7 separate regions of the Mus musculus genome follow, and all the other regions are reported to be linked to region 3. The links are microRNA targets in miRTarBase. Many come from high-throughput screens and were not tested one by one. Region 3 holds a microRNA gene; each other region holds the end of a gene's coding sequence. Distances are from middle to middle.
The links. Region 3 holds the annotated microRNA mmu-miR-324-3p (CCACUGCCCCAGGUGCUGCU, at 993-1,012, opposite strand). A microRNA usually pairs through its seed, bases 2 to 8, with sites in the 3' UTR of a target mRNA and lowers its output. Matches are read on the target gene's strand: a 7mer-m8 pairs with bases 2 to 8, a 7mer-A1 pairs with bases 2 to 7 and ends in A, and an 8mer does both.

Region 1: the mRNA of Prkdc is a reported target of mmu-miR-324-3p. Seed matches in the 3' UTR shown: 8mer at 2,339-2,346.
Region 2: miRTarBase lists Spred2 as a target of mmu-miR-324-3p. The part of its 3' UTR that is shown has no 7-base or 8-base seed match.
Region 4: miRTarBase lists Vat1 as a target of mmu-miR-324-3p. Seed matches in the 3' UTR shown: 8mer at 1,778-1,785.
Region 5: the mRNA of Il1r1 is a reported target of mmu-miR-324-3p. Seed matches in the 3' UTR shown: 8mer at 805-812, 7mer-A1 at 2,789-2,795 and 7mer-m8 at 2,928-2,934.
Region 6: miRTarBase lists Lipa as a target of mmu-miR-324-3p. Seed matches in the 3' UTR shown: 7mer-m8 at 1,289-1,295.
Region 7: miRTarBase lists Mdp1 as a target of mmu-miR-324-3p. Seed matches in the 3' UTR shown: 7mer-m8 at 2,364-2,370.

Annotation. Positions count from the first base shown.
Region 1 is chr16:15,841,430-15,844,509 of GRCm38, reverse strand. It overlaps Prkdc (protein kinase, DNA activated, catalytic polypeptide), which reads right to left. Exons shown (of 86, transcript NM_011159.2): 86 at 2,271-2,739. The coding sequence ends at 2,535. Among named protein-coding and RNA genes, the nearest start is that of Mzt2, 20 kb to the left of the region's middle.
Region 2 is chr11:20,021,088-20,024,167 of GRCm38, reverse strand. Spred2 (sprouty-related EVH1 domain containing 2) reads right to left here. Exons shown (of 6, transcript NM_033523.4): 6 at 1,571-3,080. The coding sequence ends at 2,721. Among named protein-coding and RNA genes, the nearest start is that of Gm39603, 14 kb to the left of the region's middle.
Region 3 is chr11:70,010,027-70,013,106 of GRCm38, reverse strand. Mir324 (microRNA 324) reads right to left here and starts at 1,064; the gene lies at 976-1,064. It overlaps Dvl2 (dishevelled segment polarity protein 2), which reads right to left. Exons shown (of 15, transcript NM_007888.4): 15 at 2,998-3,080. It overlaps Acadvl (acyl-Coenzyme A dehydrogenase, very long chain), which reads left to right. Exons shown (of 20, transcript NM_017366.3): 9 at 24-149; 10 at 461-659; 11 at 817-921; 12 at 1,337-1,423; 13 at 1,509-1,571; 14 at 1,661-1,762; 15 at 1,842-1,939; 16 at 2,029-2,101; 17 at 2,186-2,258; 18 at 2,337-2,409; 19 at 2,507-2,582; 20 at 2,671-2,924. The coding sequence ends at 2,811.
Region 4 is chr11:101,457,431-101,460,510 of GRCm38, forward strand. It overlaps Vat1 (vesicle amine transport 1), which reads right to left. Exons shown (of 6, transcript NM_012037.2): 5 at 2,947-3,080; 6 at 1,318-2,846. The coding sequence ends at 2,763. Ifi35 (interferon-induced protein 35) reads left to right here. Exons shown (of 7, transcript NM_027320.4): 4 at 1-92; 5 at 190-376; 6 at 461-567; 7 at 771-1,271. The coding sequence ends at 962. Among named protein-coding and RNA genes, the nearest start is that of Vat1, 7.2 kb to the right of the region's middle.
Region 5 is chr1:40,312,816-40,315,892 of GRCm38, forward strand. Il1r1 (interleukin 1 receptor, type I) reads left to right here. Exons shown (of 11, transcript NM_001123382.1): 11 at 160-3,077. The coding sequence ends at 578. Among named protein-coding and RNA genes, the nearest start is that of Il1rl2, 10 kb to the right of the region's middle.
Region 6 is chr19:34,491,418-34,494,497 of GRCm38, reverse strand. It overlaps Lipa (lysosomal acid lipase A), which reads left to right. Exons shown (of 10, transcript NM_021460.3): 10 at 285-2,182. The coding sequence ends at 518. Among named protein-coding and RNA genes, the nearest start is that of Ch25h, 18 kb to the right of the region's middle.
Region 7 is chr14:55,656,329-55,659,408 of GRCm38, forward strand. It overlaps Mdp1 (magnesium-dependent phosphatase 1), which reads right to left. Exons shown (of 6, transcript NM_023397.5): 4 at 3,042-3,080; 5 at 2,872-2,957; 6 at 1,561-2,746. The coding sequence ends at 2,655. Among named protein-coding and RNA genes, the nearest start is that of Mdp1, 2.6 kb to the right of the region's middle.

The sequences.
Region 1 (3,080 bases), not on the chromosome of region 3:
TGGTCAGACACTATCTTAAAGTGAAAGGATGAGCAAAGGTATTCCATGCTAAGGAAACCAGGATTTGAAGCCAAATAGACTTAAAGCATAACTTATCAGAGATAAAGGTCTTTTCATACTGAATTGTTGGGAGCCGCCCCCACATTCGCCGTCACAAGATGGCGCTGACATCCTGTGTTCTAAGTGGTAAACAAATAATCTGCGCATGTGCCAAGAGTAATTTTCCACTACATGTACTCTGCCTTTACTCGGCCATGGGCTGCAGCCAATCAGGGAGTGATGCGTCCTAGGCGAAGGATAATTCTCCTTAAAAGGGGACGGGGTTTCCGCCATTCTCTCTCTTGCTTGCGCTTTTGCGCTCTGCGCTCTGGCGCTCTGGCGCGCTGGCGCTCTGGCTCCTAAAGATGTAAGCGGGGGGCCTTTCGTTTTTGGGGCTTGGGGCTTGCGCTCCTGGCTCCTAAAGATGTAAGCAATAAAGTTTTGCCGCAGAAGATTCTGGTTTGTTGTGTTCTTCCTGGCCGGTCGTGAGAACGCGTTTAAGACTGAATCAAGAACATATATGCACAAAACTTAGTGTACTCAATTTCGTAAAACAAATGCTATTTTAGACATAAAGATTAACCCTAACACAGAAATAGGTGACTCAAATACCACACTTACACTAAGGAACAGGTTGTTCTAACAGCAATAAAAACAACAAAATATGCAGCTCTGGAAACTTAGCAGAGCACACAGACACACACATAAATTTGAAATGCCAACAGAGTAGGATGCTTCTGCCAGACCTGATGATCTGAGTTTGATCCGTGGGATTGACATACTTCCAATGTGGGTTAAAAATGGGGTCCCGTGTCGAGCCGTGTGGAGCCCAGGGCTCGGGCCACTGCATGAAGCAGGACACGGGAAGTCTGACTGCTTGGACCCCACACAGCCGCCGCTGGGCTGGGTGTCGGGCTGTGAGAAGCCGCAGGACCCCGCTCCTGAGACCTGGAAGCTAAGTCTGGGGTCCCCGAAGAACTGCCAGAATTGGCTCGGGGTCCCTGGGCCTGCATGGAGGCTGAGGATGGCAGGTTCTAGCTCTTGGACACCGCTGATGCCATCACAGAAGAGCTGAGAACAGAGTGGGGGTCCTTGGGCAGGCTCTGGCCTGGGGCCAAAGGTTAAAGGGCAGGAGGTGAGAACTCTGGCTGGTGATGAGGAGAGTCCTTAGCTTGTTCAAGTGGCTTGCTCAGTGGGTGGCTTGGTGGTGGTGGAAGTAGCTGGGTACACAGGGAGGCCTCCTTTGGGAGGTTAGGCTCCGCTCCTTAGTGGAAGACCTGCTCCATTGCAGCATGGTGAATCTTGATGAGAAGAGACAGTCCATGGTTTTCAGGCATTTATTGTAGAAAGGCAGAGAGAGGGAGAGAGTAGAGAAGTAGAGGCCGGCTATGGCCACGTGGAGAGAGGGAGAAGGGAATGTGGACAGAGAGGGGGAACAAGGGAGCAAGGGGCTAGAGTAAGAGCAAGAGAGTAAGAGAGGGAGGAGGGGGCACACAGCCCCCCCGCCCCCCCCTTTTTTTTTGGTTTTTCGAGACATGGTTTCTCTGTGTAGCCCTGGCTGTCCTGGAACTCACTCTGTAGACAAGGCTGGCCTTGAACTCAGAAATCCGCCTGCCTCTGCCTCCAGTGCTGGGATTAAAGGTATATGCCACCACGCCCAGCTTTTTTTTTTTTTTTTTTTTTTTGCACAGCCCCTTTTATAGTGGGCTGGCCTACCTGGATGTTGCCAGGTAACTGTAGGGAGGAACATACCTGGCTATTGCCAGGTAACTGTGGGGGTGGAATGCAGACAGCCTGTGTGACTGATGGCCACAGAATTATGGAGCTGGGGCCTCCTGTCAGGAGCCTAGTGTCTGGGAGCATGTGGCAAACTTCCTTCCGTCCCTTGAAGACTAATCTGCTGGGTCTCTGGGGTTTAAACCTAGCTCGACCAGAAAACAGGCTGCCTTTCAAGGTCCCACAGACATAGATAGACACACACATGCACACACAAATCTGAGATGCAAACAGGGTAGAATGCTTCTGCCTGATGATCTGAATTTGATCATGGGATCAAATCATCATGGGATGTACATACTTCCACACATGTACCATGATGCACAAACACCCACCTCACCCAACAACAGAACACAGGGAGAAATGATCAAGAGCAGAGCAGAAATTAAAGAAATAAAATTGAAAGAAATGCAAAGAAATCAGTGAAATTAAGAGCTGATTCTTTGAAACAAGGAAGAAATATTTGTCATATTCTTTATTTTTTACATGTGTGGAGGTCAAAGGACAACTTCCTGGAGTTGGTTCACTGCCTCCAATATGGGTTTCTGGGATTGAAGTTAGTTAGGCCATTAGCATTGGTAACAAATGCCTTTATCTGACCATCTCGCCAGCACCATAAAGTAGATTTCCTCTGTCTGTCAGAAATATACTGCTGTCAGCGAAGGTCTAGGAGGTCCTCTCGGAGACAGAATGCTTTATGATTGGTGACACCACAGACTTTACATCCAGGGCTCCCATCCTTCCCAAGTCCTGCCAAGGATATTGGGGTCTGTGGCCTGGTCCACCAAGCACTTCACTTGAGTCTCTTCTGAAAGCCCACTCTCTGGCTCTTGTGCACGAATGTTGTAGTCTCTGTTGCCTCGAGCTACAGCTGTATAACTCCTAAAGGCGGATGAAGCTTCATGGCCTAGATATAGCTCATCACTGGAAAAAAGTATTGAATGAATATGAAAAGACAGACACAAATAACTTTTCCTTTTTGACCTGTATTTCTGGCTATCCTTTATAAATATTATCATTTATCATTTTCCCCCTCATGTCACTCATGACTGTGAATTCAAAGTTTGGGTTGGTAGAAAAATAAAGCATGAATAATAACATTATTATTAACATTTGCTTGGAAATTTTTGTTCAAACATAAGCTTTCATTTTTCTAGGGTAGCCACTCAGGAGTGGGCATGCTGGCTACAATTGTAACTCTATTTAAATTTCCATGCCCACCATCCATGCAGCTCTCCACACCCCTGCTCACACTTCATCTCATC
Region 2 (3,080 bases), 50 Mb from region 3:
CCCCCCCGCCCCCCGGAATATAACCACAGGTGGGAAGGGCCTCACAAAAAAAGACCCACGTCTCATGTTTTTCTTTGAAGGAAACCCCATCCCATTCTGTGTGTGAGGACTCCAGCCCGACAAATACCCCAAAGCCAATAGTCGGATAGGACGTGTTTATATTTACATTTCAAAGCAATGGCTACATTGGTCATACATATTAGAAACCATAAAAAAGTTAAGAACTAAAATGTACATCATACACTTGTATATATATATATTTTTACAGAGGTAAAAAGGCTTATTATAAAAAAAAATCAGTACAACAGGGGTTTTAGTATACAGGTAAATGAGTTATGCTTCAGGCACTTTGACTTGTTAATGTGAGCGAATAGCTTGGGACGAGAGCTAAGGAAACTTCTGAACGGGAAACCTTTTGGTTAGGTTCTGTTACCATGGATATAAAAATAAAATCTGAATAATTTCTCTCAAATGATTGACGTCAGTATGGCAAAGCTGACTGGGAAAATACTACACACCGTTCAGCTGCAGTGTGGCAATTAAACATATTTACATAAATGTCCCCATGGCTGTCTTTGTGCCCTTAACTGCTGCCTTCACAAACCAAAGATAGGTGATGCACAGAGGCGTGAGATCCACTGGCATAACCCTTAGGAGGGTGGGAACCGGCTGGGAGGAAGGACGCACAAACAGGGACAGAGGCAACCGGACACGCATTCTCACTGAAATAAATAGGGGCACTTGAACGGAGGTTTAAGGAAACAGGATTAGTGTTGTGCTTGGTAGAGAGGCGAGGGCCCGAGGAGAGTCCCTCAGGCTGGGGACAGTCTCTCCACAGCACTGGAGGGCGGCTGGAGGCAGTCTATAGAGTCTCCTAGCACAGAGACCCCCTCCATCCACAATGGTGGAGACGACGCTTGTTGACAACAGATAGCCCCAATCAGTCATCCCAACAAAGATGACACCTCCAACCTCCACGTAATGCACAAGCATGCTGATTATCTACACTGATGGTCCGTCTGTCCAAAGAGACACGACAGGCTGTCTGTCGGGCGAGCAGAAAGCACTGCCAGGAAGAGACAGTGCTAGGGATGCAAGGCTAGCTTCTCCCAGTATGACTGACTGACTGACTGACTGACTGATTGACTGGAAAAAAGGCCTTTTCCTTTAAAGACGGATGTCTGTGTGCAATGGGGGAGGGGGGAGGGGAAGAAGGACTAAAGGGGACTGAGCTTGGGGGGGGGGGGGGATAAAGGGGACTGAGCTTGATCTCTACCGTTAATCACTGTGGGAAGAACGGCCAGTAGTAACACCCTGCTCCCTACAGTCCCCACGGAGCTCTGATTGTACCATGCTAGGTATTGGTAAACCACTTCCACTTGTCTTTTTTCTGTAGAAGTTGGCTATTCTCATATATATATATGCATATGTGCTCCCCCCCCCAGCACATTAGGAGCCTCTTGCATGGCTCAGAGACAGGCATAATCAGTTGGTGACCTACCCTTATCTGTGCACCCCAAGTGGCAACTGTGGGTGTGGAGTGATAGAAGAAGACACTTAGGCATTGAAAGAGGGTTTTTTTTTTTCTTTACATATGGCCTTGTTTTTTTCAAGTATAAATGAAGAATTGAGCCTCAAATTAAAAAAACAAAACAACCCCCCCCAAAAAACTAACCAAAAATATATACCTAAAAAAACGCAAGCCACCACTGTTTGAATCAATAGTATTTAAAATGCACCCTGAAAAATATAGTGCAGGGCAGGGAATGGCTACAACTTCATTCACAACTTCTGTGTTTTTCATCTGGAACTTGTTCACAGAATACTGGCTTGTGTTTGAATAACTCAATTTGGTTTGTAAAATAATTGAGTAAAATTTATCTCACTGATGTGTTATTCTAAGTATTGCTAGGATTTTAGAAGTGGCAATGCAATTCTAAAAAGTCCTATTTTTCGGGTCAACTGGGCAAGCTCACAGAAACCCAAATCGCCTTGCAAGCCCTGGTCCAAGAGGATGCAAAGCAACTCGAGGAATTCTTTCCTGATTCTCACAAGTGAATATGGATTTAAGGCTCAAAAAGTCATTTAAAAAGTGATTGTTTTGCATTAGTGAATTAATTCATGGGGAGGGAGGGGCAGGAGAAGAGATGATAGCAGGTTAAAGACAAAACCGGCAGCTGATGGGGAGACGTGGCATTAGGGGTTAAAGTACTACTGTTTTGTGGTACATGCTTGCTATCCAGATTGCCTCCTCACATAACAACATGCTGTGGTGCCGGCTTCATCATTCTGTCACATCTCTGTGGGACCTATGCTAGTTAGCGACAGGCAAACCCAATGGGGAGAAGAAAAAAAAAAAAGTCACAGAGCGGGGGAGGGGGGGGGAGAGTCAATAAACCCCTCCAAGTCTGCAGAACCAGAAAGGTGGGAAGGAGGGGCAGGAAACCAACACTCAGCACGATTATAGGCTGGTAAAATACACGAGTCTATGCCGAAGGCTCCTTTCCTCAGAACACTGCGAGAGGGGGTATGTGGCTGACACAGGGGGCGGCAGCTACCCCAGGTTTGGAATGATGTCACCAAGGGACCACAGAGCCTGGCCTCCTCTTATTGGCCTAGCCTTTTGGAGTTGGAAGGGAACCAGGGAGAGGATGGGGGAGTGCGCAAGAGACAAGTTGCCCGTGGCCGTGGATGGAGAAGCAGAAAGTAGGGGAACCGAGTCACGCGGCGGCTTTGTGCTTCCCACCACAGCACCTGCACATCACTCCACAGCGGTGGCAGGCCCGGAGGGGCAGGTAACAGCACATACAAGGGGCCAGGAAAGACAAGGCAATTAGAGCCATCCACCGGAGGCAAAACTTCTCATCGCTTGTGTCACACGAACAAGGGTCAGTGTAGTCTCCCTCGGGGTCGGACATACAGTGGTACAGCATGCTGTCCGCGCACCACATACAGCTCACCCGGCGAATGCAAGTTCTCACGGCGTCGGGCGCGTCTTGGCAGTGGCCCCTTCGGTTCTCTTCGTGATTAAACATATCCCTGCAGTACACACACCGCGACCGTTCGCCGTTCTCCTTCCG
Region 3 (3,080 bases):
CTAACCACCTCACTCTTCCACAGTAATGGGGGCCTGGCTGACATTTTCACTGTCTTTGCCAAGACGCCAATTAAAGATGCAGCCACGGGGGCCGTGAAAGAGAAGATCACAGCTTTTGTAGTGGAAAGGAGCTTCGGAGGGGTTACCCAGTGAGTATGGGGCAAAACAGAATCAAGGATGGGGACAGCACTGGGCTCTCAAGAGCAAATAGTCAATACAGGCCACGCTGGGGCTATCTCTGTACAAGAGGCACCCACAGGAGGTGAGCAGTTTTGTTTCCACTGGGGGAACACAGGCTAACAGGCCATAGCTAGATATCCGTAGCCCCTGGGGCACATAGGCAGTGCCCTGTATCCTTTTTATAGTCTGGGGAGTTCTCCCCTGATCATGAGACCCGAAAAGGCCGTTTTCCCCCACAGCAACCTGTTCATACCTCAACTTTCCTGCCCTGCCTTTTCAGTGGGCTCCCTGAAAAGAAGATGGGCATCAAAGCATCTAACACGTCAGAGGTGTACTTTGATGGAGTGAAGGTGCCATCAGAGAATGTGCTAGGAGAGGTGGGAGATGGCTTCAAGGTTGCTGTCAACATCCTCAACAACGGAAGATTCGGGATGGCTGCAACCCTCGCAGGCACCATGAAATCCCTCATTGCCAAGGCGGTGAGTCCCAGCCCAGTCCCTAGCTAGCACATGTCCCTGACTGCCTCAGAGCGCCGACACACACACATGCACACTCGACCATCGGCACAGTTAGGCCTCCAGCCCGTCCAGGTGGAAACTGAAGAACCACAGTGGGGTAACATGCGCCCTCTTGCAGGTTGATCATGCTACTAATCGTACCCAGTTTGGGGACAAAATTCACAACTTTGGGGTGATCCAGGAAAAGCTGGCTCGGATGGCTATTCTGCAGTATGTGACTGAGGTAAGGGCCTCCTGGGCCCCTTCCCTGGAGCCCTATGGCTTTCTTCACAGTTGGGTCAGACTACAACCCCCAGCAGCACCTGGGGCAGTGGGTCTCCAGCTTTACACCAATGCCCTAGGGGATGCGAGGAGGCATAGTCAGTTCTCTTCTGGAGGGTGGTGCTGCTCTGCTAAATGCTGCCCAGATGCACCAAACACGACTTTTAACCCACCCCTTTACAAAGTCGGAAGCCTCGAAGCCCCTGATATACCAGAGGGTCACATATTGGACATATTTGACCTGACCAGGAGGCTAAAGTGAATTCAAGGGTTGGAGGAGTAGATCAGCACTGGTCTTGAAGGTCTGAGCATTAGCCATTCTGTCTGATGCAGCCCTTCCCTGTTGTCTTCCCCATGTCCCGACCATGCTCCCTTAGTCCATGGCTTACATGCTGAGTGCCAACATGGACCAGGGATTCAAAGACTTCCAGATAGAAGCCGCCATCAGCAAAATCTTTTGCTCGGTGAGGACCCAGGTGTGATGGGAGGGCGGAGTCCAGATTAGGACCTCAGCTCAAAAATCCAACTCATCTGGTTCTCTGTCCTCAGGAGGCGGCCTGGAAAGTGGCAGATGAGTGCATCCAAATAATGGGGGGCATGGGCTTCATGAAGGTACAGAGTATTCCTCGGCAGGGGGGGGCATCTGTTCAGAGTGGACAGGCACATCTCAACAGAGGTTTCTGTGTCTTCCTGCGTGCCAGGAACCAGGGGTGGAGCGTGTGCTCCGAGATATTCGAATCTTCCGGATCTTTGAAGGGGCAAATGACATTCTTCGACTGTTTGTGGCTCTGCAAGGCTGTATGGTAAGAGGAAGGAGGATGAGAGAGAGCAGCTGGGGAGGACACTGAGTCCTCACTGTCGCCGTCCCCCTTCTCTCCACAGGACAAAGGAAAGGAACTCACTGGGCTGGGCAATGCCCTGAAGAATCCTTTTGGAAACGTTGGCCTCCTGATGGGAGAAGCAGGCAAACAGCTGAGACGGTACCTCATGGGCCGGGGCCAGGGTCAGAGTCAGGGTCAAACAAGATGGGAGGCCGCAACTGACCAGTCACTCTTCCATCTCCTCTCAGGAGGACAGGAATCGGCAGTGGTTTGAGTCTGTCAGGGATTGTCCACCCAGAGTTAAGTCGCAGTGGTGAACTGGTGAGTGAGCCTTAAAGCAGAGCCTGCGGTGGCTGTGCGCTGCCTTCCTCTCCTGAGCTCTGTCTGTGACTCTTGTCTCTTCAGGCAGTGCAGGCTCTGGATCAATTTGCCACCGTGGTGGAGGCCAAGCTGGTGAAACACAAGAAAGGGATTGTCAGTGAGTGAGCTCTGCAACCCCCTTCCCTCCCTGATTCCCTCCCTCCGACTAACAGCCCCACCCTCATCTACCTGACAGACGAGCAGTTCCTGCTGCAGCGACTGGCGGACGGCGCCATTGACCTCTATGCCATGGTGGTGGTTCTGTCCAGGTAAGGCGGCAGCGAGGGACGCTTGGCAGGCTAGAGCCACAGAGGAGCTGGGCCAACACCAGCACTCAGGATCATTTTAACCTCTGTTTCCTCACAGAGCCTCAAGGTCCCTGAGTGAGGGCTACCCGACGGCACAGCATGAGAAAATGCTCTGTGATAGCTGGTGCATTGAGGTGAGCCTTGGAGCTCCCCAGTACAGGTGGGCCTTGGAGCTCCCCAGTACAGGACGGCCTGACCGTCCCTCCCCTTCCCTCTCCCCAGGCTGCAACTCGGATCCGAGAAAACATGGCCAGTCTGCAGTCCAGCCCTCAGCATCAGGAGCTCTTCCGGAACTTCAGAAGCATCTCCAAGGCCATGGTGGAGAATGGTGGCCTGGTCACCGGTAACCCCCTGGGAATCTGAGACTCCCAATCAGGCCCTGGCAAGGTCATGTGCCTTCTCTGATGCCAAAACCCTTTATGGGGGTGATGGAGTACTTATTGCCTTAACAATAAATTTTCTACCAAGTCACTGTCTGCCGTGAATGTCACTGCTCCCTCCTCTCCACTGCCTGCCTCGCAAAGAAAGGAGCCAGAGGCTTGGGGAGTTGGCCTCTATTTGCTTTATTTGGTGTTTTGTACAAGTGACTAAAATAAATAGAGTAACAAAGGCAGCTACACAGTCCCCAACAC
Region 4 (3,080 bases), 31 Mb from region 3:
TACAACAAAAGGAACACAGAGTTAACTTAGAGGACTGCCGGCTGCGGGTGCAGGTCCAGCCCTTGGAGCTGCCTGTGGTGACCAACATTCAGGTGACAGAGTGGCAGGGTCCTCCATGCAACAGGTGGGATTCAGCATTTGGGTCCTATGGATGAGTGGGTCAGCTGAGCCTGCCCTGTCTCCTGCTAGGTGTCCAGCCAGCCAGATAACCACAGGGTGCTCGTTAGTGGTTTTCCTGCTGGACTTAGGCTGAGTGAAGAGGAACTGTTGGACAAGCTGGAGATCTTCTTTGGCAAGGCCAAGAATGGAGGTGGGGATGTAGAGACCCGGGAGATGCTGCAAGGGACCGTCATGCTAGGGTTTGCTGATGAAGAAGGTAAGGGTCCTACAGAAGAGGTAGGGGGCCAGGGTGCACGAGACTCGAGAAGCCTTCAAGGCCACCCTTCCCTGTCTCTCACAGTGGCCCAGCACTTATGCCAGATTGGCCAGTTCAGAGTCCCACTGGACCGGCAGCAGGTCCTCCTGAGGGTCTCTCCCTATGTGAGTGGTGAGATCCAGAAAGCCGAGGTACGTGAAGGTGGGGCTGGGGAAGCGTCTCCTTGTCGGGGAGAGCTCAGGGCCCCCCAGCCTCTCCAGCCTACACAGGAGCCTGAGCTTCCAGACCCATCCCATGTTTTTTGTGGGATGGTCCTTGTTCCAGCCTCTGCTCGCCACTGCCCTGCATTCCCATGAACCCTTGCAATTCATTCATTTCCTGTCTCTTTTTCTAGATCAAATTCCAGCAAGCCCCTCATTCAGTGCTGGTGACAAATATTCCTGATGTCATGGATGCCCAGGAACTGCATGACATCCTTGAGATCCACTTCCAGAAGCCCACTCGTGGGGGCGGGGAGGTGGAGGCCCTGACAGTTGTGCCTTCAGGGCAGCAGGGCCTGGCTATCTTCACTTCCGAGTCAAGCTAGGCCTGCATGTCCACCTGCTGGGGACTAGGATCACTTACTGCCTAATGCTACCAAGAACGGTCAAAGTGCCAACCTGGTGTGATGGTCTTCTTTACTTCAAGATAGCTGAGAGAGAGGGCAGAACGCAGACCTTGACACTGGCTTTCCCATGGCTCGCTCGTGCACGCGCGCGCTCTCTCTCTCTCTTTCATTTGAGACTAGATTTCTCTGTATATTCCAGACGTTCCCTCTGTAGACCAGGCTGGCCTGTAACTCCAAGCTGCCTGTCTCTGCCTCCAACTGCTGAGATTAAAGGTGCGCATCACTACCACCCATTCTCCAGCAACTCTCAGATACAACATCTGGTCAGGACTCAGGGTTTGGCTTTTTATTGACACAGACACAAAGGCAGCTGTGGTAATGGGGTGGGGTGGGGATGGGACACAAAAGCAGAAATCACACTTCCCACATGGAGGCCTCAATTTGACAACAGAGAGGCCGGGTCCCTCCCTCCACACTCCCTCTGACAGTGGCTGGAGTTAAGAGCTTTCTCTAATCCAAGCTCAGAAGCAGCAGGTGACCCCCACCTAGCCTCAAAGGTCCCCACCTTGGCTCCAGTAGCCCTGACTCTTTTAACCAGCCTAGTTATTCCCTTGCCGGAGCTCCTCCTTCCCTAGCAGTGTAAACAAAGTTTGGGGCTGAACAGCAGAGCTGCCTCCAGGCTCTGGGAAGGCAGCAGCCTCCCTACATAGCAAAGGAAAGAAATGTGCTTGAATTCTCACTTTGGTCCCAGAATAAGACCCAGCGTTGTCTCCCAGAACTCTGGCTGATCCAGCTCACTGCCTTTCTTCTCCACTGACAGAGACAGGACAGGCCACAGACCACAGTAAAAGCAATTGGTCCCCAGAGGCTGGAGCTGTCCCCTACCCCCAGACCCCCGACCCCTGGCACATACACAGATTTTTGGCAGTGTTGGACTGGGGAGGAGTAGGCCTCAGCTCCACCAGGACGAGGAAGGCACTGGGGAGAAGGGTGGAAAAGGAGCCAGAGATAGGGGCTGCCCCTACACATACACACACATATACAAGCACAGGTTTTCAGATGCTAAGGCACTGAGACAAATCCAAAGGCCTCAGTGAAGGGTGGGGTACCCAGTACCCCTCCCAGAGCGTAAGCTAGGGAGTCGGTCTGATTCCTGTCCTTGCTGTAGGAGGCAGCAAACTCAAGCCGGAAGAAGTCTAATTGTGCTTACGACATTGGGGACAGGAGACAAGGTTGAATACTGATCAAGTCCAGGGGTGGGCCTCGTCGGCCTGGGCTGCGGGGATACTACGGGGGACACAGGTACATGCTGGACTCACACAGATCGGCCCCACGTCCTGAGCTGACGCATAGATTCTTTGGGTGGGGGTGGGGCAGGAGGGAGGATGAGGCTGAGGTGGAAGCACACAGGATAGGGCAGGGAGGGATTGGCTAACCTTGGCACAAAAGCAGCATGGTAGGCCCAGGGAGAGGGGGGAGGGCAGGAAGCAGCCAGCCTCCTGCTGACCCCCCCTGTCCCCTTGGCAGGGCCCAGACATCCAAGTGGTCACTTCCCAACCTCTCCTGAGGGCAGGAAGGGGTGGGGGGGAGGGAGAGCCCTGAGCGAAGGGCAAGAGCGAGCTCAGAGCAGGGAAGCAGTCATCAGCAGAGACCTTCTCTGGGGGAGGGAGGGAGGGTAGAGCATCGTGACAGGATGAAATGTGAGAGGCTGGTGGGCAACACGACAGGACTTCCCATCTTCTCCCTCCCCGGCTCTCCAGGGCCCTCAGCCCTCTGGCCCTAGGTCTCCTTCTCAGGCCCAGGAACCAGGAGGACTTTGCCTATGTTCTTCTTCTCCTGCATCTGTTTCATTGCATCTGCCACCTGGAGAGAAAGAGAAGACCGTCCCTGATGCTGTCCGCCCCACTTACAGAGCCCGGCTAAAGACGACAGGAACCATCTGCCCCTGGGTCCTCAAGCTCACCTTCTCGAAGGGCCAGACTGAGTCAATTCGAGGTTTGATGTGGCCCTGATTGTACAGAGCCACGAGGCGGGTGACCACGCTATTGACGAGTTCCACCTCTCCATCCAGGTAGCCCAGGTGGAAGCCACACACAG
Region 5 (3,077 bases), not on the chromosome of region 3:
GTCTGTAAATTTTAATTGTCTTTGAATCTCAAGTAAGGCAAGGAAGAAGCAACAGGGGACATAAAAAGGAGTCTGGGAAGAGCATCTTTGAGTGTTGAATTCAGGAAAGAATGTATTGATGGCCTCTTGCCTGACTGCACTGCACTCTGTGTCTTACAGATACCATCGAGGTTACTAATGAAAATGTAAAGAAAAGCAGGAGGCTGATTATCATTCTAGTGAGAGATATGGGAGGCTTCAGCTGGCTGGGCCAGTCATCTGAAGAGCAAATAGCCATATACAATGCTCTCATCCAGGAAGGAATTAAAATCGTCCTGCTTGAGTTGGAGAAAATCCAAGACTATGAGAAAATGCCAGATTCTATTCAGTTCATTAAGCAGAAACACGGAGTCATTTGCTGGTCAGGAGACTTTCAAGAAAGACCACAGTCTGCAAAGACCAGGTTCTGGAAAAACTTAAGATACCAGATGCCAGCCCAACGGAGATCACCATTGTCTAAACACCGCTTACTAACCCTGGATCCTGTGCGGGACACTAAGGAGAAACTGCCGGCAGCAACACACTTACCACTCGGCTAGCATGGCAAAAGTGGGCAGGCCAAGAACTTCGGAATATCTCCCATCATAAGAGGCTGCAGCTGGGCTGTGCCTCCCAGTAAAACAGTCACGAACCAAACCTGTGCAGTCCCTTGTTCCAGATCACCTGGAACTGGATTGGGAAGAGAACAGGACTTGGTGGCCAGGACCGCTCAGAGAGCCATGGTTGCTCAGGGATGCTGCTCCGGGATGCTTGACTAACAGTCGAGGCAGTGAACTGGGTGTAGAAAGCGTCAGGAAATGGCCACATGTGTGGATGGTTTAATTAGATTCTGTGGAGTCTCACAGTGGGATTGTGGTTGTCTGAGGACACTTTGGGGGGTCGCTGTCCAAGAAGTGGCTCCCCAAAGTATAAGTGCGGGTGAGGTTTACTGATACCCCACAGTGGAAGGCATTTCTTCCAGATATTTTCCAGATACCTTGGCCGCCAAACTTCGTTTTCAAACACTGTGTTTTATTGTGTAGACCTTGAAAACCACGGTTTCAGTGAAGAAGGATTCTGTAGGGTTCACTCTTCTGCAGTCACTTTAGCTTTCTGCAGAAGTCTAGATTTTAAATTAACTGTAGAAGGAAGTCAGACACCCACAGGTTTCTTCTAATCAAGCTTCCACCCTGCAATGGCTGTCGTGCCATCTTCCTTCTGTGTTTTACTCGGCTCATTGCTTCTCTGGAGACAAATGCAATGCTTCCTACCCCCGTCCTGTCACAGGCAGTCTGAGGACTCACCTTCACACGTGAGACTTCGCTCTTACCCCAGCCCCCACCGCTGGAGGGGTTTCAATCCCCCACCCTGGGGCTCTTCTGCGCAGAAGCTGAAGTCTACGCTCCTCCCAATCTTTGGTCCCAGTGCCGCTGTTCGCCTTCCTGCTGGTTGATTGCAGAACCACCTCTGAGACCTCTGTACCTGCTCTTGGAATGTCTCTGTCTTTGCCCTGCCGCCCACTTCCCGTGCCTATGATTTGCTCTAGCATTTCTGCCACCTGACAAGGAGAGGAGCTTGCTAAAGTTTAAAGTTTATTTCAACGCTAAGATCCCAACCTTCCGATCTCTGCCTACTCTCAGACTTGGCCAGCCCTCTTGCCTGTCATCCCAACCCTGCTGCTTCTCTGTAAAAGGTTGTTTCTTTACTAGCAGAAATCAGTCTGCAGGGAGGGGTAGTGCGTGTATCTCACTGTTTTCCGTATTGGGAACAGATGGTATAGATTTGCCAAGGCCTTTATTTTAAAGTGTTCTTGGAAAATCGTATTTAAATTTGCAATTATTCTAATTTGATATAGAGAGAAACTGACCTATTTAACAAATGGACTCTCTTAATTCTACTGGACCCAGGCCTTGAACTTTCTGGTTTCTGTCTCTGTGCTCTGACTTTTTGATTTCAGGTCTAGCCCTGTGCACTTACCTCAGTACTCAGTACTTACTCAGTACTAACTCAGTACTCGTGGGAGGACACCCGACCCGGGTGTTCTTTGAGAAGCAGCTGAGTGAGGCATGTTTTGACAGGAGGAACCCAGTTCTTTTCACTGTTGGTATTTATAGCACCTACCTTCAGATTTTTCAGTATGATGTTTCTATTTTCCAATACTGGTTCCCTAACGGTCAACATTTCTTCTCCCAACTAAAAATGTAAGAAGAAAAAAAAATTTTTTTCTTTTTCTCTTTTTTTTTTTTTTTGTGGTACAGAAGTTTTTTGTTTGGTTATTTGTTTGTTTGATTTTAACTAGATGACTGTCTTCAGAATAATCCTCACAGTTCTGGAAGATTGAAAAACCAAGTTCACATGACAAGAACAAACCCGGTTTTAAGGGTTGAATGTAGGGGGATACCATTCTGTCTTTTAGACTTTCAACATCTGCTATGGTGGAGCACAAATGTTATTTAAAAGCATCTTCTCACCTACATAGAAGTAAACAAAACACACAATTTGGGATTTTGACTCTTCAGTTTTGACCTCACTTCTCCTGGATCCAACCTGACAGGAGATGACTGGATTGCTGGGGTAGAGAAGGAAAGGCTGTCCCCGACAGCAGCCAGAAGTCTGTGGGAGTGAGGTCATTCCTGACCCGTGATGCTTTCAAGGCTTGGTTTTTCTGATAATTATTTTTGCCTGTCATCCCAAAAACGTATTGACATGCGTGTATATTACCTGTGAGTGAGAGTTCTTAGAAACTTGGCCAGAGAGGATAAAGGGGAGAGCAGTGACAGAGAACCGCCGATCTTGTGACACCGGAGTCTGAGGTGGAACAGAGCCAGTGTCAGGAAAGCCCCTCAGCAAGAAAGAAGAGTCATTGCTGGTTCCCAGGGGCAGTCACAGAGGATGAAATACCACATCAAGGCAGTGGGAACTTCCTGCGACTTCTCCTGGTCCTCCCCAGAAGTATCTGGTGTCAGCTGAAGACCATGTGTCCCCCAATACTTAGATTTCACCGTACTTTCTGATGGTGTTTTTAAAAGGCCAAGTGTTGCAAAAGTTTGCACGTGCAA
Region 6 (3,080 bases), not on the chromosome of region 3:
TGGGGGAAACCGTGATGCTCACTGGGGATTAAGTGGTCCCTATAGTGCAGCAAAGAGGAAAAAACCGCACAGTTCTACTCCTTGTAACGACTACCTGAAAAACATAATGGAAGCAATTCTTAAAACATGTTTGTTTGTTTTTTAAATTAAATTTTTACTTTCAAATCAAACTTACTAGACATTTGTTTTTCCATGGAGATTTCATTTATTAAAATAAAAAAAAATTTAACAGGAATAATTGCAAAGCTTTCTATGACTCTTTTTTTTTTTTTTTCCTCTTGTAGAGTTTTCCTCCCTCGTACAACATAAAAAACATGCGTCTACCCACTGCTTTGTGGAGCGGGGGCCGGGACTGGCTGGCAGACATCAATGACATCACTATCTTACTGACTCAAATCCCCAAGTTGGTGTATCACAAGAACATTCCTGAGTGGGACCATCTGGATTTTATCTGGGGTTTGGATGCCCCCTGGAAACTGTATGATGAAATAATCAGTCTAATGAAGAAATACCAGTGAATGCTGGACTTGAATACTTCCCCTTCAATAGAGGGGGGAAAAAAAAAAACAGGTGTTTGCTTAATTTCTGTAAAATCCTTGTGTTTTCCTTGCCTAGGTCATTTGTATTTTTTATGTGCAAGAAAATGATGACGTCGAAGGTGTACATTGCTCTCTGGTTAATAAGAAGCACGCTAGCTGTCTTATGCTTCATTGTGACTGACTAGCAAGCGTCCACAACCAGTGATGCCTTTTAAGTGTCTCTGTGATCCTTTTGTTTACCTTTTACAGTTGTTTTCGGTGCATATGTGCTGTGCATATATGTGCCTAAGTGTGTGTGGGCTGTGTTCTGGCCCTTGTGTGGAGGTAATGGCTCACATCAAGGTGTCTTCCTCAGTTACTTCCCATCTTACTTTTTGAAACAGGGTCTCTTGCTGAACAGGGAGCCTGCTATTTCAGTTACACTGGTTGGCCCATGAGCCTCCAGGATCTGCCTGTCTCTACCTTCCCCCTCACCAATGCGGTGGAATGGGGTGTCTGTCCCAGCCGGCATTTTTACCCTGATTCTAGGGACAGGAACTCAGGTTCTCATGCTTGTGTAGCAAGCCCTTCACTCACCGAATCATTGCCTCAAACCTTCTGCAGTAGACCAAGCTACTCAGTTGCTTTTATATTCCTGCCCAACACAAGTGAGCACACACAGGACATTTCAAGCTGTTGTTTGCTAGCAAAAATAAGTCTGCCAGTGACCTGAACACACGATGAAAAGCTCCTTGCTCTGAGCTTCATGTGGCAGTGCAAACCTACAATCCTAGTTCTCCAGAGGTTGAGACAGGAAGGCTGCTGTAGGACTTAGGGTTCATCTAGAAAGCGAGACTTTGTCTCTAGAAAACCAAAGACAAAGGAGGAAAAAAAAAACCCAAAGTACTCAGTTCTCATCCCTTTGCCTTAGAGGACTGTCTAGCCCAGAGTTCCTGTGTTTACCTATCCAAACAACATTTTCATGTTTTAATGCATTAGCTTCCTAGTGAAATCCAGTGTAATCCCAGCTTCTCCAGGAATAAATATCCTCTCTTCAGTTTCATCAGACCTCAATAACAAAATTTTTCAGGCCAAGCCCCCCCCCCCCCCCCAAATAAGCGTAGACTCTTGAAAAGCAGTTTGCACTGATTAAAAAAATTAAAAAAAAAAAACTTGAAGATTAATACAATGAGCTCTGTTGGTTCCGAATGTGTAGTCTGGTCACTTTTCTGTGGAGAAACATTCTGTGGAGGGACAAACCACTGATTTGCCAGAAGCGAATATGGCTGCCGTGACGGTGCCTGCATGAAGCTAAAGCTGGTTGTGGTGGCAAGTGGTCCGATTCCCTTTCACACAAATGATGTTTTCAGACAGAGCTCGGCTCAGGAATTTCGCTTTGAGAATCAGTGTTGTATGCACAATGTTTTACTGAGCCTGCTTTGCTCCTGCGTACAGGAAGCCCACATCTGTTCACTTGGCTTGCTGGCGATGGCTGTCACCACTAGACAGTTGATAAGTTTTCTGATATTCTGATATTAGGTACCACGGATGCAGGAATATTACTTGATATTGGCTCATACAGACAGGCAGAATGATACAACTTTGTAACAATTTAAAGGTTTGTATTTAAACTTTTCAATAAATCTCAGCCTCATAGGCCTGAACATCGGTGTGGTGTTTGCTTTACAGTGGCTAATCTATACATTTTCTTTTAGCAGGATAAAAGATTTTCTTTCTCTACTCTCCCCAAGTCCCAAAACTTCGATCACACAGTCCATGAACAATTGGAGAGAAAGGAAGGGGAGGCTGGGCTGTCTTAGTCAGGGTTTCTATTCCTGCACAAACATCATGACCAAGAAGCAAGTTGGGGTGAAAAGGGTTTATTCGACTTACACTTCCATACTGCTCTTCATCACCAAGGAAGTCAGGACTGGAACTCAAGCAGGTCAAGAAGCAGGAGCTGATGCAGAGGCTATAGAGGGATGTTGTTTACTGGCTTGCTTCCCCTGGCTTGCTCAGCCTGCTCTCTTATAGAAGACAAGACTGTCAGCCCAGAGATGGTCCCACCCACAAGGGGCCTTTCCCCCTTGATCACTAATTGAGGAAATGCCTTACATTTGGATCTCATGGAGGCATTTCCTCAATTGAAGCTCCTTTCTCTGTGATAACTCCAGCTTTGTCAAGTTTCCACAAAACTAGCCAGTACAATTGACCCCTTGTCAACTTGACACACAAACACATCACTAGTAAGCCTCAACCCTTACATTCTTATTCATCTCCAAGATCTATATAACTTTAAATGTCCCACAGTCTTTACATATTCTTAAAATTTCAATCTCTTTAAAATATCCATTTCTTTTAAAATCCAAAATCTTTTACAATTAAAAGTCTCTTAACTGTGGGCTCCACTAAATAGTTTCTTCCTTTAAGAGGGAAAAATATCAGGGCACAGTCACAATCAAAAGCAAAAATCAATCTCCAACCGTCCAATGTCTGGGATCCAACTCACGATATTCTGGGCTCCCCCAAGGGCTTGGGTCACTTCTCCAGCCATGCCCTTTG
Region 7 (3,080 bases), not on the chromosome of region 3:
CTGGGGCACCCAAGACCCTCCTCTGATTTCTGTGGACACCCACACATGTGGCATAAACACACAGAGACATACACAAAAATAAAAGAAATTGAAAACAAACAAAAAAAATCTCAGAAGACAGAGAGGCTGGGAGATCTCTGAGTTTAAGGCCAGCCTGGTCTACATAGTAAGTTCTAGAACAACCAGGGGTACCAAGTCCCTGTATCAAAAACAAAACAAAAGAACACATACAAAACAAAACCAAAAAGGCCGGGCGATGGTGGCTCACGCCTTTGATCCCAGCACTTGGGAGGCAGAGGCGGGTGGATTTCTGAGTTCGAGGCCAGCCTGGTCTACAGAGTGAGTTCCAGGACAGCCAGGGCTACACAGAGAAACCCTGTCTCAAAACAAAACAAAACAAAACCAAAAAGAAAAGAGAAAAAACCTTATAGAGGACCCAGCAGTTCCCAACACCACATCTGATAACTCAAAACTACCAGTAACTCCAGTTCTAGTTTCTTGATCAGTATTTTTTCTGTCTCCTCCAGTTTCTGTATTGTTTCTTCAGGAATTAAACCCTCCTTTTCTTCAAGAGTCCAATGGAGCACACCCGTATTGTATGAAGGAAAAGTATTAGCTACCAGTTACTGAGTACACAGTGTATGCTAGGTGTACATTCTAAGTAATTATAATGAACGTGTTGGTGTCACTGGACAAATATGAAGACGAGCACAAAGACTGAAATGTTTTTGTCTGGAGTCATGTTCAGTAGATTAAGTCGTGATCAAAATGTTGTGCTGGGTATGGTGGCACATACCTAAAAATACCAACACTTGAAAGGCTGCTACAAGAGGATAGCTGTAAGTTTGAGGCCAGTCTGACCTTCACATGAGTCCAGGTCAGCCAGGACTATATATAGCAAAATCCTGACTCAAAAGAGGAAAATAAAAGAAGCAAGCAGACTCCAAAGCCCATGTTCTTTGGCACCTTCTTAGTTTCATTTTAAGTCACATTTGATGACCACTGTCCCACTTGCTGTCTGTCTTGATGTCAAAGATCCTGCTCTACATGATCAAACTAAAGGAAGTTCAAGGGACTGGGGTACAGGGAAGACAATGTACCAGTCTCTCCCCCCATTTCTATAGTGAATAACCTTTGCAAATAAAAGTCTGGTGCCTTCTGCCTGCTTTAAACCCTCCCATCCTCTCTGCATTGCTGACGGGATAATAACCCAAAAATGCTTCTGGAATATACAAGGTCTTTCATGACCTGCTCATCTCGCCATCTACGCTCCTACATCCTTTCCTTTTTACATCCCCCACATCCCCCAAACTCAGAACGGCCAGCTTTCCATAAACTACTGTAATTGGGTATATGTGTCGTGAAGGCTCCTCCCAGGGTTACCTCAGTGTCACACCGGGAAAACGGTAAGCCTTTTTGAACATGGTATCCAGAGCCTACATCTATGCTGCCTTGGTTTTTTGGGATCATCTGTATTGCTGAGTTGCACATTATACTGCCAATGAGTTTTTCTAGACACACCCATATCAGCAGATACAGCTTAAAGAAAATTGTCTTTCCTTTTCACTTTGGATCTCTTTTATTCAAATGAAGTAAGCAACAACATTTTAGAAACGACTGGATACAGCCACCTGGAAAGCAGTCCCCTCAAGCCCATGCATGCCACAGGAGTTAACAATTGTCTCACCACCATCCATTCACACCCCCTGACTCAGTCCAGCTCAAGGCTGACTGGGACAAGGCGGTTGGATAAGGTTGGCCTCTGGCAACAGGGTGCCAGGCTGGGTCAAGGTTTTCAGGCCAGCCTGTCTCCTGGGCCTCTTCTTGCCTGGCTCTTGTTGTTCCCATTCCCTTCTGGCCAGCACCTCCCAGGAGGCCCAATGTCTCCCAGGGTCACACCTCCTAAAGAGTCTGCCGAGTCCAGAGTCCATTCATTGCTCTCTCTCTCCCGCCTCTATCCCTCGGCTTGCCTGCCTTCCTCTAGACTATCACCATTCTGAGAAGGGCCTTGGCCAATCCCTCCAGGATATAGATAGCCATGACATCATCAATCAGGATATAGCGCAATTAAAACCTTGGAGGGACAAAGCCTCGTGCTATGGTTGGCTCATTCCTGAGCTACTCCCTACTACCAGAAAAGGCCGGCCGGCCCCAACCTTATTTCCAAACAGTATTAACTTTTAGTCCCTACAAAGAAATGCACAGCGTTATGGCACCCCACTATTTGAAACCGTTGGAGGAGGTCTCAGGGTGGGTTCCAACACAAGGAAACAACAACCTGGTGCACTCTAATCAGGACACAACTTCAGTTTACATGTTAGAAAAATGGAAACAGACTGGAGAGATGGCTCAGTGGTTAAGAGCACTGCCTGCTCTTCCAGAGGTCCTGAGGTCAATTCCCAGCAACCACATGGTAACTCACAGCCATCTGTAATGGGATCTGATACGATACCCTCTTCTGGTGTGTCTGAAGACAATGACAGTATCATATACATAAATAAATCTTTGTGAAAAAGAAAAGAAAAATGGAAACAACCCATACGGTGGCAGAACCCTGACTGTCACACGTGGACACTTTAATACAAGAGCCCCTGACAAGGCTTTCTTGATTTTAGTTTTACACTGCAGATGAGGCTTATCCACAGGATTGGACCTCAGAGTCCAGCTTGGGCCTTTGCAAATGTCTCTAATCCTTGAGTTAACGTTTGAAGACTCATCCCATCCCGGATGTGAATGCAGGTAACGCCTGGAACAAAGAGCAGTCACATTTTACCACACTTTCAAGGCTCTGCCGTATACTACCCACCCTACACTTACTTTATCTTCTTTTAAGAACTCCCCCCCCCTCACCCCCCAGCAGTGACTCAGTACCAAGTCTGCCAACGTCTATGATATTCCGATTCTCATCATCAAAGAAGACCATCTGAGAGAAAGGAACTCCGGTCTTGTGGTGCAACCTGTGAAGAACAAGGCAGGGGTAACCACTTGTCAAGCTGACTTCTTTTGTAGTCCACTTGCTCCCACACCAGCTGTCTGCCTACCTCTCAAAGTGTGTGACTTTGCTGCCTGGGTAGATTTCC